3 linked regions of the Neurospora crassa OR74A genome follow. The protein of the gene in region 1 binds, or shares a complex with, the protein of each later gene. Links are inferred from orthologs where the notes say so. Each region holds a gene or a part of one and is shown in the gene's direction. Other genes may lie near its edges. The genes, in order: NCU05288, NCU06404 and ypt-1.

Evidence for each region.
Region 2: the proteins of NCU05288 (region 1) and NCU06404 are in contact, whole or in part, in a crystal structure (PDB 3CPH), measured with the Saccharomyces cerevisiae proteins. The link is inferred for Neurospora crassa OR74A from reciprocal best matches to the Saccharomyces cerevisiae genes GDI1 and SEC4. Residues at the interface, in NP_011062.1 of Saccharomyces cerevisiae: Thr5, Ile6, Tyr44, Arg78, Arg106, Tyr107, Tyr237, Glu241, Gln244, Ala247, Arg248, Ala251, Ile252, Tyr253, Gly254, Thr256, Tyr257, Met258, Leu259, Leu282, Arg445; in NP_116650.1 of Saccharomyces cerevisiae: Ile53, Gly54, Ile55, Asp56, Phe57, Trp74, Asp75, Thr76, Ala77, Gln79, Arg81, Phe82, Thr84, Thr86, Thr87, Ala88, Tyr89, Arg91, Asn123.
Region 3: the proteins of NCU05288 (region 1) and ypt-1 are in contact, whole or in part, in a crystal structure (PDB 1UKV), measured with the Saccharomyces cerevisiae proteins. The link is inferred for Neurospora crassa OR74A from reciprocal best matches to the Saccharomyces cerevisiae genes GDI1 and YPT1. Residues at the interface, in NP_011062.1 of Saccharomyces cerevisiae: Thr5, Ile6, Tyr44, Gln55, Lys76, Arg78, Asn81, Thr96, Leu99, Ile100, Asp103, Thr105, Arg106, Tyr107, Asp109, Phe110, Lys111, Gln112, Ser156, Cys221, Gln222, Ala225, Arg226, Tyr227, Leu233, Met236, Tyr237, Glu241, Gln244, Ala247; in NP_116615.1 of Saccharomyces cerevisiae: Thr40, Ile41, Gly42, Val43, Asp44, Phe45, Trp62, Asp63, Thr64, Ala65, Gln67, Arg69, Phe70, Thr72, Ile73, Thr74, Ser75, Ser76, Tyr77, Arg79, Gly80, Asp107, Arg108, Tyr109, Ala110, Ser112, Gly189, Asn190, Val191, Asn192.

The regions. Positions count from the first base shown.
Region 1 is NC_026504.1:5,450,202-5,454,598, reverse strand, and holds the start of NCU05288 (rab GDP-dissociation inhibitor), read left to right. Parts: upstream 1-1,989; 5' UTR 1,990-2,440; coding exon 2,441-2,574; intron 2,575-2,671; coding exon 2,672-3,045; intron 3,046-3,120; coding exon 3,121-3,663; intron 3,664-3,726; coding exon 3,727-3,881; intron 3,882-3,967; coding exon 3,968-4,159; 3' UTR 4,160-4,397. Other genes in the region: NCU05287 (50S ribosomal protein L4), read left to right, coding at 1-312, 399-656. UniProt on the Saccharomyces cerevisiae protein: Regulates the GDP/GTP exchange reaction of SEC4 by inhibiting the dissociation of GDP from it, and the subsequent binding of GTP to SEC4. Plays an essential role in the yeast secretory pathway.
Region 2 is NC_026504.1:2,622,950-2,627,346, reverse strand, and holds NCU06404 (GTP-binding protein), read left to right. Parts: upstream 1-1,638; 5' UTR 1,639-2,306; coding exon 2,307-2,336; intron 2,337-2,466; coding exon 2,467-2,734; intron 2,735-2,945; coding exon 2,946-3,265; 3' UTR 3,266-4,132; downstream 4,133-4,397. Other genes in the region: NCU06403 (hypothetical protein), read left to right, coding at 1-344. UniProt on the Saccharomyces cerevisiae protein: Involved in exocytosis. Maybe by regulating the binding and fusion of secretory vesicles with the cell surface. The GTP-bound form of SEC4 may interact with an effector, thereby stimulating its activity and leading to exocytotic fusion.
Region 3 is NC_026502.1:3,520,810-3,525,200, reverse strand, and holds ypt-1 (small GTP-binding protein), read left to right. Parts: upstream 1-1,061; 5' UTR 1,062-1,334; coding exon 1,335-1,345; intron 1,346-1,604; coding exon 1,605-1,728; intron 1,729-1,798; coding exon 1,799-1,846; intron 1,847-1,914; coding exon 1,915-2,142; intron 2,143-2,200; coding exon 2,201-2,401; 3' UTR 2,402-3,282; downstream 3,283-4,391. UniProt on the Saccharomyces cerevisiae protein: The small GTPases Rab are key regulators of intracellular membrane trafficking, from the formation of transport vesicles to their fusion with membranes.

The DNA.
Region 1 (4,397 bases):
CTCTCTGTCTCCGACGAACCCCTCCCCGAGCCTGTCCCGCGCGAGGAGCTGCCCCCGATCCAAGTCGACGAGAACCACGGCCTGTGGGACTTCTTTTACGACCGTGAGACCGTCGCCATGGCACCCCTCGAGCACACCAAGCACGGCCGCGCCTGGACCGTTTCCGAGCTGCGCAAGAAGTCGTGGGACGACCTGCACCGGCTATGGTGGGTCTGTGTCAAGGAGCGCAACCGCATTGCGACGGCGAACTGGGAGCGCACAAAGAGCGAATTGGGTTTCGGTCTTGCTGAGGCCAATGAGCGTGACCGCAATGTAGGTGGATGACACAGGAAGGAGGAAGGCCCATTTACTAGGTTACAGCAGAGAAGCTGACAATGGTTCTCCTTTGATTTTTCTAGGTCAAGCAAACGATGCGCGGAATCAAGCATGTGCTCACCGAGCGCTTCTATGCTTGGGAGGATGCAGTCAAGCTGGCCGAGCAGGACCCGGAGATCGACCTGTCCAACCCCGAGAACCCCTACACGCCTAGCACATTCCTCGAGGCGGAAGAGACGGCGGAGGGCGCCGAGGCCAGCGAGACGCAATCCACCACCACAGAAATCGACCCAACAACGATACCATCATCCAAGTCCCAAGCCGAAGCCCCCAGGGTATGAAGAGAGGGAAGCGGTCCCAAATGAACCAGACGGGCGAACGGTCGTGAAGGTACCCTTGCGGTAAGAGGACGAGGGGGGGAAAACAGTCACGATACCCGTTTTCCCAAAACAAACCACCACACATTTTTGCAACCTGTATCGATAGTGTAACGAGCATCATATGTGTTCACTGTACAACAGCCAAATTCAACCCGGACAGGCCCTGTTTCTAAAGAGGGAAGGACATGGGCCTGGGAGATTTTCATGAAGAAGCCAACGAAGCAAAAACAAAAAGCCCCATGGGGTTCATGGGAATGGGTGTCCCATATGGATTAGGCGGTCCCTGGTGAATAGTGATGGGCCGAACAACCGAGATCTGGGGTGCGTGAATCTCTGTATACCAACATCTCGCTTAGGACATGTCTAGATTTCCACGGTAGCTGGGGAGATCATCATCGGCGCCAACCTGGACAGGCGAGACCATGGAGAGGTCAGGAGGAAGGGGCATGGCGGGATAGACGAGACAAAGCTCGTTTCCAAGTCCAATTTTTAGATACAAAATGGCGAGTGGTAGTGTACATATATCAGAATGATATATATATGGATCTCTATATATACATATCAATCATCGTTGCGGGGACCAGATGAAGCAAGCCAGGGTTCTGTTCATCAGATCAGTGAACGGTCTTCATGTCTTTGAACATCAAATCATTAGCGAGCCCGAGTCCCACCAAGGGGGACATTAGGGGGACATTACTTTCTTGGCTCCGGTCTAGCTCAAAGAAGCTCAAAGCGGGGTCCCGTTCGCGCCCCTCATTGTACGACTCCCCCACTTCCTACCACGACGGTGACGAACCAGAGGCCGGCCATCTGCTAGAGGTACCACAACTGGCTGGCCGGCAGCAAGAAGCCTGGCCTCCATGGGCTGGGCTACCTAGGTAGGGGAGACCGCCTACGAGACCGCCCACCCAAACCGGAGCCCCGAGGAGACACGACCATGCATTGGACATGCCCCCTACTTTCATCAAAGAGGTGTCTGTTTGTCTCTCAATGGTTTTGAATGGTGGTTGAAGACTGACAGCCTGGCGACGATGGACATGATCAGAGCAAACTGAATGGATCATATGGAGTGCCGTGACGGAGACCTGACCTGGACCCATGGCTGACAGCTTCCTGCACCTGCACACCGTACTTGCAACAGGTGGAAGCTGCTGTCAGTCGCAGGCGGTGCCAGCAATGCAGCGTGTGTGCAGGCAGTGGCAGCAGCCCAGCGGCGGCAGTGCGGCCCCAGTCCGTCCGTCAACGCCCCGTCCGTCGTCGTCCCTTGTCCCCTAGGTAGGTAGTAACCAGGTATGGACACACTAACGTGACAGACCGACGGGACGCCGCCTCCTGTCAGTTGTCCAGTCCAGTCCAGTCCACGACAAAGTGGAAGTCCACCAGCCAGTCCACTCAACTGCTGGTCTCTGTCCCTGGTCGTCCATCATCTCTCTCTGGCGGGCTACCTACTTACCCCCATTTAGTATCAAGTGATCCGCCTTCAACTTCGTTCCTTCTTCCCCGTCCCATTCTTCTTGTTCTGCTTCTTCCATTCTCCGTCGTCGTGTGTTTAGCCTGCTTGCTATATACCACCTACTACCTACCTGCCTCCTACCTACTCTCACCACCACCACCCCCACCACCCCCCTCTAATCCAAACAACAAGCTTCCTACTACCTGTAGCTTGTTGCTTATAGCTTGCAGACCGCAAGACCGCCGACTCACCACAACAACCAACCACAACTAATACTATCAACACCACAACCATGGCCGACGAGATCGCCAAGGAGTACGATGTCATTGTGCTGGGCACTGGCTTGACCGAGTGTATTCTCTCGGGTGTTCTCAGTGTCAAGGGAAAGAAGGTCCTCCACATCGACCGCAACGACCACTACGGCGGGTTCGTACTTCCCTCTCCCCCCCTTCAACCCCCCCCTTCACCCCCCTATCGAACCATGATGAGGACACAACGGAAGCTAACATGACTCCTTGCGCAGTGAGGCGGCGTCGGTTAACCTCGAGACGCTCTTCAAGAAATATGGCAACTTTGCCGCCGGTACCGAGCCTTGGAAGGAATACGGTCGCCCCAACGACTGGAACATCGACCTTGTTCCCAAGTTCCTCATGTCCTCGGGCGAGCTCACCAACATTCTTGTCTCCACCGATGTTACCCGTTACCTCGAGTTCAAGCAGGTTGCCGGCAGCTACGTACAGCAGGGTGCTGGTTCCAAGGCCACCATCGCCAAGGTCCCCTCAGATGCCGCCGAGGCGTTGCGCTCGCCCCTCATGGGCATCTTCGAGAAGCGCCGCATGAAGAGCTTCATCGAGTGGGTTGGCGAGTTCGACCCCAAGGACCCCGCCACACACAAGGGTAAGTTCGGCCCACAAATACACTTGCTGTCATATTGTATTGTTCATGAGCGCTAACCAGTAGGGGCGCTTGCAGGTCTTGACATGGCCACCTGCACCATGAAGGACGTCTTTGAGAAGTTCAGCCTCGAGGCCGGCACCAAGGACTTTGTCGGCCACGCCATGGCCCTCTACCTCAACGACAACTACCTCGATACCCCTGGCGCCGCCCCTGAGACCATCGAGCGCATCCGCCTTTACGGCCAGTCCGTTGCCCGCTACGGCAAGTCGCCATACATCTACCCTCTCTACGGCCTCGGCGAGCTTCCCCAGGGTTTCGCCCGTCTCTCTGCCATCTACGGCGGTACCTACATGCTCAACACCAACGTTGACGAGCTCGTCTACGAGAACGGCAAGGCCGTCGGCATCAAGGCCACCATGACCGGCGTTGAGCCCGAGATGAAGTTCGAGACCCGCGCCAAGATGATCCTCGGTGACCCCAGCTACTTCCCCGACAAGGTCAAGGTTGTCGGCCACGTCCTCCGCGCCATCTGCATTCTCAAGCACCCCCTTGCTAGCACCAACGATGCCGATTCGTGCCAGTTGATCATTCCCCAGTCGCAGGTGGGCCGCAAGAACGGTAAGTTTGTTTTGCGTCACAACATGATAATCCAAACAGATTCACTAATAAAGGGTTGTCCAGATATCTACATTGCTTGCGTCTCCTCGGCGCACAACGTCTGCCCCAAGGGCTACTGGATCGCCATTGTCTCGACCATTGCCGAGACCTCTGCGAACCACCACCTCGAGCTCGCCCCTGGTATCGAGCGCCTCGGCAAGATCGAGGAGCAGTTCATGGTATGTTTTTTTTTGTTCTCCCCCGTCATTCTTGCCTACCTAGCTTCTAGAAAGATAACTAACCCAATTTTTCCCACAACAAACAGGGTCCCCCCATTCCCCTCTATGAGCCCCTCGAGGATGGTCGCAACGACAACATCTTCATCTCCAAGAGCTACGACGCTACCAGCCACTTTGAGACCTCGACAGAGGATGTCAAGGACATCTACCGCCGGTGCGCGGGCGAGGAGCTTGTTGTTGAAGGTTTGAGGGAGGGTATCCAGATGTCGCAGGAGTAAACAATGGACGACAGTGACATAAAGGGATATATGGATATGGATTAAGGCATAACATTAACAACATTTAATTGATGGTTTCTCCGTTTGAAAGCATAAACTGTACTACATATCACATTAGTACATACAGGCTGCTGTTGCTGCTGCTGCTGCTGCTTTGTTTAGCGAGGTTTTACGGGCAGTCAGCCAGTCAGCCAGTCAGCCACTTCCCCCTTCAACTCACCCAGTTTCCAAAGCGACG
Region 2 (4,397 bases), about 2.8 Mb from region 1:
CCATCGGCATCGTCCAATACCTCAGGACCGTCTTTGGCAGCCGCAAGGGACTCCGCAGAGGAGAAAAGGTTCGTCGTATCGTCAGGGTACTCAGAAACATGGACAGAATCCTGGCTGCGGGCGCTACCAATCCCAAGGGCGGGCTCAAGTACAAGGACCGCGGGCTGTTGCTTTGCGAGGCGCATGTGCTGCGCGAACTCGCTACTGAAGTGCTCCCTGGAGACATCCGGCGCGAGTTCCTGGAGGATCTGGAGGATTTGACGAGTGTGAAGAATGTCGTTCTTCAAGAAAAGGCTCTGCAGAGGATTCGGTGGGCATACGCCGATTGGCTGGGCAAGAAATAGATGGCTGTCAGAGTTTCATCAATCCTCTATCCCGAGATCCCCAGCGCGGGAGTTGGTGAATGGCGGTAAGCGTTTTGTATTGTTAGTTGGGCTGTGATGTGATATGATCAGTGTACTTTAGTAAATAGCGACTAGATCTTCCATGATTCTTCTGTTTGTATGAAATAGCTATAAGGACTTGGAGTTTTGAGAATGCACGGGGGAGATGGTGCCGGTGATATGGCAGAGGTGAGCAGGTGCAGGAAGTACCGGGCCTAAACACCAAAACAGAGTTGTCTACTAACCCCTTAAACACGGTGGATACCTACCTACCTATGTGCCTATAGGCGGCGACGTTTAGTCCACGTAGTGTGAAAACACCCCACGGGCATGTTGCTGGACTTTTTCACGCTTCACGCAGGGGCATAACCAGGGTGCAGGGTCACCCAGGGGCCGCCTTTCGTGTGGCGGGAGGGCAGGAAAAGGCTTTGGTGGAAGAGATCATTGGGCCAATATGAGTTATAGATCCATCAACGGATACTGCGTCTCGTGCGTATAGACTGTTCACCGCCCTGCCCGCCTTTCTCACCATGTTGCTGTGAGACCGCCCAGTCGCCTGTGTCTGCAGCTTCAGCTGGCCTTTCACGATACTCCATTTTGTTGAAGAAGCCAAGAAAACCCCTTAATCAACTTTCCTGGTAAAACAAACAAATAAAGACAGCTGGTCTTCTGTTGGATGCGCGAATGAACGGATGGTCTCGTTTGGTCTCGAGGCTCACCTTCTTCCGCGACCTCAGATATTAGTGGCAGAGCTCCCTCCCTGGTTCCTGAATCTTGGGTTGCATTCGTTGAGAGTGCAGTTGAGTTGTCTCTTTCTCACTCCGGTTTCCTAGACACTTTGCGCCATGCACAACAACTTGTCCTTCGAGCTCATCCTGTCATTCATAACACATTGGTATCTCTATCTACTGCAAGGTTGAAAGGGACACAAAGAATGGAATATCAGGTGGAGTTGTTGCGGCGATTGTAGGTTCTAGAAACTTGACCGATTACGTACCGAACAGTCGCGTCCCCTAGACCACGATCACGCGCTGCAATAAGCGTTCTTCCACTAGAGTGGAGGTACAGGTGTAAAGGGCACAGATAACCCCCCATCCCATACATAGTGTAGCCCGCGACTCGGTAGCACTTCAGGCAAGTGCGTCAACCCTCACATTGTACCTCTATGGTGGTGATCGCGTTGCCCGGGCTCTGGACTTCCACTTGCCCTGCGCTTTGGGACCCAGGTTAGCATTGATTAGATAGTATCAGACATCAGGGGCATCTGAGACATTCCAGTTTTCTTGGTTCCTTCCTCTCCACGCAGGGAGGTCTTGGACAAGTGGAAGCTACAAGACCCCTTTCTGCCTTCCCCGTCCTCGTCATTGTTCGCCTTTCCATTGGATCTCCGCACGGCATCGCCCCGTAAAGTTGGAGGGAGAGAGAGCCCAGGTACGCACTGCCCGCAGCCCAGTAGCCGGCCAGCCAAGTCTACCTTAGTGCAGGAGTAGGAGACCCCATCGCGCTCTCGCCTGTTTGTTCGTTCTGCGACTCCTCCTCCGCTGGACTACTACCTAACCCGTGCAACCGCCCTGCAGTTTTGACAGGCCCGTCAACGTCGCACTGCGGACACGCTTTCAACTACCACCACCACTGCATTCCACCACCACTCACTCACTCACCTACACTACCTACCTACAACTGAACATCATTCCTGCTCTGTCGCCTGTTTCCTGAACTGCGCATCGTCACCACCATTCGAGCCTCCAGTCTCCATCCCCATTCCCTTTCCCGCAACTACCAGTGTACAACAGCCCGACGATTTCGAAACGCCGGATTTCGATTGATATCCCCTTTGCCGAATTCCGGAGTCCGAACTACCAGAGAAACATTCCAAGAGATCGAAACGACGGGCGGCGGCGTTAACCCCCACACCAGTTCATCATGTCGAGTAACAGGAATTACGATTTTCTGGTGAGTCTTTCCTTCACCTCACCGCTCGCACTCTCGCGACATTCCTTGTGTTCCCCCCCTCCCCCGTAGTGGGTTTGGCGAGGTTATTCTGTTTCCAGACGCTGACCGGAGATACCGCTTCACGACATAGATCAAGCTGCTCTTGATCGGAGACTCGGGCGTTGGCAAGTCCTGCTGTCTGTTGCGCTTTAGCGAAGACTCATTCACACCGTCATTTATCACCACCATCGGTATCGACTTCAAGATCCGCACAATCGAACTCGATGGCAAGCGGGTGAAGCTACAGATATGGGATACCGCCGGTCAAGAGCGTTTCCGTACCATCACGACGGCATACTACAGAGGCGCCATGGGCATTCTTCTCGTTTACGACGTGACGGATGAAAGGTCATTCAACAGTACGTGAACCCACATTCCCATCCCGCATAAAATGGCATGACAGTTGCGGTCAAGAGGTGGTCCTTGAGGTCACGCTCGAAATGCGATGGATTGGTGCCTTTTAGATGCCATGCCTCTCCATTGCTCCGGATTCTGGCATCAGCAATCTCCCATCGGATACCATGCCATGTATTACCTCGCTCCTTTGCTGACGTGACCTTCTCTTCGCAGATATCCGTACCTGGTTCGCCAACGTGGAGCAACACGCGACGGAAGGAGTCAACAAGATTCTCATTGGAAACAAGTGCGACTGGGAGGAAAAGAGGGCGGTTTCCAAGGAACAAGGCCAAGCGCTAGCCGACGAGCTTGGCATTCCCTTCCTCGAGGTTTCGGCCAAGGCGAACATCAACATCGAAGAGGCCTTCTTCAGCCTCGCCAACGACATCAAGAAGCGCATCATCGACACATCCGGCAAAGAGGCGTCTGGCGGCTCGTCGGGCGTGAACGTCAGCGACAACAGCGGGTCAGGATCCGGCGGCAAGTGCTGTTAAGCCAAACGGGTAGCAGTTGTGTGGCGGCGAAACCCGACCCTGGAGCTCGCAAAAAAAAAAAAAAAAAAGCCCGCTGACAATCACGATGGCGATACGAGATCCGATTTATCCTCCCGAAGTATGGATGACAGCAGTCTGGCCTCATTCAGTTCTATTTGGCTACAGCCTACGTCTATCGAACATGCACCTGTCTTCCTGCGGGCCACCAATATGCACGGCCGGGTCTACCGCATGGAAACAAAGAGGCGGTGTAGGGGAGAAAGAGGGTATCTTCGGTCTCAAGACTTTACTATGGTTGTAATGAAGCTAAGGTCCAAGAGGAAAAGACGGCTTTAGTTATTCTGGAGGGCTCATTGAAAACCCCTTTCTTGTCACTCGGGAGCAGGAGGGAGAAGCGGCGCGGAAGATACGACGCGTGCTCATTTCCGGCTTCTCGCTATTGGGTCTATTATTATTGCGCTCTAGAAGCAGTGGATGGTAGGATGGATAGGCTAGGGAGCTGAGGACATCAACGACGATACGGAGACATGTGAGTATTACGACCGGCTTGATCGATATAGATGGATTGAGGTTGGGTTGGCAGCATGGACGAGGGGCAGAGAGCGAAACGAAACATTCTGGTCACGGAGTTTGGGTGCGATCTTTGGCTCTTCCTAATATATTTCATTTTCTTCTCTCTTGACTGTTTCCCCTTTGTTGTTCTCTTTCTGGTTTGTAGATTTCGTGCGCGGCCCCCCTTATAGCTGTATCTCCAAAGTATGACGATACGACACCCATAAAACAAAACATAGATAGATATTCCCTGAAAAGATGGGGACGCCCTGGTCAACCATGGCTAGTGTAGAGTATCAAGACGTATGACGTGAGCGATAACATTGTTGACATGAGCCACGAATCCACAAGAGGTGCTCTTTTACTCTTTCGGGAAACGAGCACAAAGAACGGGATAGATGTGGTCTGTGCGTTGCTCAACTTCCACTTGTCGGTCCCTTCGGTCTGACTGTTTACATAGTGCCGAGGAAGCCACCACTGCACTGCGGCATGCCACCACGCTCACTACAGGACCCATACTCGAGGGTGATGGGTGCCTTCTGGCTCTGGGCGCCAAGGCTCTTCCACCCCCTCCCTATAG
Region 3 (4,391 bases), on another chromosome or scaffold:
CAAGTGGTTGACTTGTCTCTCTGACGAAGAGTGCCGCACAGCGGGTGGAATGATGTCAGTGACGGATTGGCTCGGATGGTTGACCACAGAGCTGATAAGAGGGTCGGTAATCGGGTGGATCGGCTTCCACTTGCTCACCGGATCTCCCCACGGACAGGGATTCCAATAGTGATGTTTTGTGGGGTTGGATCTTGATCATCAACACTCTATCCATGGACATTGTGTAGGTCAGGAGGCTTTGAGAGCAACCTAGTTGCATACAATGAAACGACATATGCTTCATCGTAATTTTGGTTGTGGTCAAATATCCAGAACCTTGAGGTCTCATTTCGTTCGTACACTTGTTTCACATGAGCCTTATCTTATCGGCATACATATGTAAATGTGCTGGATGATGGAACCTAACTGAAGCTAGAAGCTTCCTAAGATCAGGAGTCCGTTGGACCCGTGAATCAATGTTGCTCCCAAATCCAAAAAAAAGGGAATCATTCATTCATTCATTGATCCATTCATTCATTCATTCATTGATACATTCATTCATTCAATGGAAGCCCATGTGGACACCGCTCAGGTGGCCCAGCCTCCAAGTCCACGATAATAAAGGTAGCCATGGGAACAACGGCCAAAGCACTTTCGAGGTATACCAAAACAAAAAAGTTCCGTAGCCGTACTTTGTTGTCGTCTCTTGGACAGAGAATAACCTGGAATCTCAACCACATTTCATCATCATTGTTTTTTTTTGTCTTTTTTTCTTTTGGGACTTGTTTAGCTGTGAAATGCACATCATCGGGACGACTCCAAGATTGTTAGTGCAATACCGTACATACCGCAACTGAAGTGGGAAAGGGTCAGGAGGCGGCTGCTGCGTCACGTGCATCGTCACCGCTTGAGTCCCCTGTTTTGGATGGATCAGTGTCCCGCCTCTTGGCCGGCGGTCGCCAATCACCCCCCCGCCCGGAGAGTGTGCGGGTGGTGTGGGTGGGCTGCCACTGCCACTCGCTGCCAGCAGTCAGCCAGGACAGCCGAGGGCGCTCTCCCATTCCATCAACTGCCCGTGTTAAGTTGCTCTGCGTGTTGCCCGTTCCAGGTTCTATGCTGCGTGCTGTTGCTGCCTTTCCATCCGCCCACCTACACTAGACTTCTACAATCCTCCACATCATCAATCAACCAACAGACCGACCTCCCACCCCCAACGACCTACACCTAATCTCATTCAGCGAAACCATCCATCTTTCGCTCCACCACCGTCCACCTTACGATACCCGCCTTATTTCTTCGCTGTCCAACTCAACCCAACACCACCACATCGCATAGCGCGTCCCTCGTTGCCCATCATGAACCCTGAGTAGTAGGTTTAATCACGTCTCCTGTTGCCCTTCTCCTGCTCTTCCCAAATCACCGTAAGCCGCCGCCACGCTGCCGCCACCTACAATCATCGCCGCCGCCCGTATCCCATGTTGTTTCCATGACGGATTGCTAACATGTTTAACCTTCAGGGTGCCCACCGCTTCCCCTCTTCACCCGACGTCGTCCCCTTCCCTTTCGCGACTCGACCGATCACCGCCGCCACCACCCCCAAAGAACCCTGCTGACGATGCAACCAGATACGACTACCTCTTCAAGCTCCTCCTCATCGGTGACTCCGGTGTCGGAAAGTCTTGCTTGCTCCTTCGTTTTGCCGACGATACCTACACCGAGTCCTATATCTCCACCATCGGTGTCGACTTTGTACGTCCTGCTATCCTGCCTGCGCAACACATGCGTTCGACCCCCATCAACATGCTGACCGTTTGGCTAGAAAATTCGCACTATCGAGCTTGATGGCAAGACCGTGAAGCTCCAGATCGTAAGCAACCCCCCGGCACTCCTGGACACTTTGGAAATCCAAATTCGCTGACCCAGTCGCTTATTCAGTGGGATACCGCTGGCCAAGAACGTTTCCGTACCATCACCTCTTCCTACTACCGTGGCGCCCACGGCATCTGCGTTGTCTACGATGTCACGGATATGGACTCTTTCAACAACGTGAAGCAATGGCTTCAGGAGATTGACCGTTACGCCACCGAGGGCGTCAACAAGCTCCTCGTCGGCAACAAGAGCGATATGACCGACAAGAAGGTTGTTGAGTACACAGTCGCCAAGGTACACAGCCACCCCTAACCCTCGTGTCTAAGCCACATACTTACACATCAACCAACAGGAGTTCGCCGACAGCCTGGGCATTCCCTTCCTCGAGACCTCCGCCAAGAACGCTAGCAACGTCGAGCAGGCTTTCCTTACCATGGCCCGCCAGATCAAGGAGCGCATGGGCAGCTCCATCGCCACCAACAACACGAAAGCCAGCGTCAACGTCTCCCCCGGCCACGGCGTCTCCAACAACTCTTCCGGCGGCTGCTGCTAAAGCGTCTGTGCCTTGCGGCATTGGTTGCGCTCTTGGCGTTACGGTTTCGCATCGGACGGTGTTTGACGACATGATGATGCGATTGAATGTTACGGCGTGGGCACTGGGTTGAGCTGTGATGCAAATGCTGCTCTAATGGGATCTCAGTTGGGAATGTTTCGGCTCTGCTTCTGTGGTTTTGCGAGGAACATGGGAGGAGACTTGGGGCGGCTTTACATGCTACCTTGGGAATTCATCACACGGTTCCGCGGGCTCTTCTTCGCTTGCCGGGACAGGTTAGGGTGGGGCCTAAGAGGATGGTGATCGAACGCACCGGAAAAGGGAGCTTAATAGTTGGCTCATCACCAGTGTCCGTCACGATTCCTGGCAAAGGGCAAGGGGGGAAAGAGTGGCTGGCTGAGACATGGGATGGGCGGCGGGCTTCTTAGAGAGCTTCCACGACCCTTGATGATGTTGGGGGTGTGTGTGTTGCGTGTGTGTATTTTCGGTCTTGGGCATAACTGAGGACGCGGCACGGTTTTTTTTTTTTTTTTAAACACATTTGTTACTTTTGGTTTTTTTTTTAAGGAGCTAGACTACAGTTTTTGCTATTTTTGTGTTTTGAGGCAAACCCACTGATCTTTCCATGCTACAGCTCTCTCACACATAGAGGAAACCTTTCGCTTCAGAGAGATGACCGGCACATTTACACCAAGAAGAACCACACGTACAGGCACACCCATGCATAAAAAACAAATGCTCACCAGACTTCAAGCCCTTAGCCAGCTCTAGACGTCCTCGATAGTTACTCGCGCTTGATGAAGTCTCTCAAAGTGACGGACTTGGTTATGCTAGTAGAGTTTGATAGTCTAACTGGATCTGTAAACATTGAGATTTTGGACATCCTGCCGGCTGATCCAAAGGCCACGATCAGACTGCTGTGGATAACCCACTCTCCAGGGTCTTGACAGCAGTATATTTATGAGAAGTCCAATCGACGGTCGGTAAATGCCCCTTGTCCCATATCACGGATAGTATAGCCAGCCATATCAGAGTTGAGGATTTGTTGTGTTGAAGCACCCCAATTCAATCAGTAATCGCAGGTATCAACCGCTTCAAGGATTGAAGAGACACTCGGTTTTAAAAGCTTGCTTTACAACTATACCCGTAGCCAGGATCCGACTTTCCATCTCTTGTCAGGCCCTCTTCTTCCCATCCATGGTGACTTTGCCTGCACGCTATACGTATCTCTACCTACGTTTTCCCATATCCACTGACCCCGGGACTCTTCGCCCTGCGTTGATGATAGACTAACAGCAGCATAATAGTGAGTGAGTAAGTGAGTAAGTGAGTAAATGAGTACCCAAGTGAGTCAAATGAACTTGTTGCGTTTCAACACTTCTCTTCTCTTTGCTTTCCATTCTTTGCAGTGATTTACCCCAACTTTTTTTTTTTCTTCTTCTTCTTCTTTCCTTCCCGGTAATCCTCCCAAGCTTACCCCCGTACTTCATTACAACAAGCATGTACCTGTACCTGTACTTGTAACCGTTTGTTGAACATCAGAGGTAGAGGTTTCTCCCGAAAGAGTGAAGAGAAGAAGAAGAAGAAGAAGAAGACAGACGAAACATGGGAGGTAATGATGTGGGCGCCGAAGGGACTAGATAGATGACCTTTGTTTCAAAACACAAGTCAATAGATACCTACCTAATTTCCCTCTGACCATTTCGTCGAAACTATTCTGTCGAGACAAAAGTATCTCTAAGTAGCCAGCTGTGGCTCTTTAAGGGGTCCCTGATTGATAGAGGTAGAATTGGGTCGTCCATCTCATGACGGACACTAGAGCTAGATTGATAGATAGATACCTCATGCTTCTTGTTTTTTTTTACCATCAGTTAACAACTCACGTTTTACATGTTTAGAACGTTTAGGCTTCAATCGGTGGGTAGATACCTCGTTAGATCATGTAACTTACCTTTTGATTGATTGATTGACTTGTAAGACGGTCGCTGTT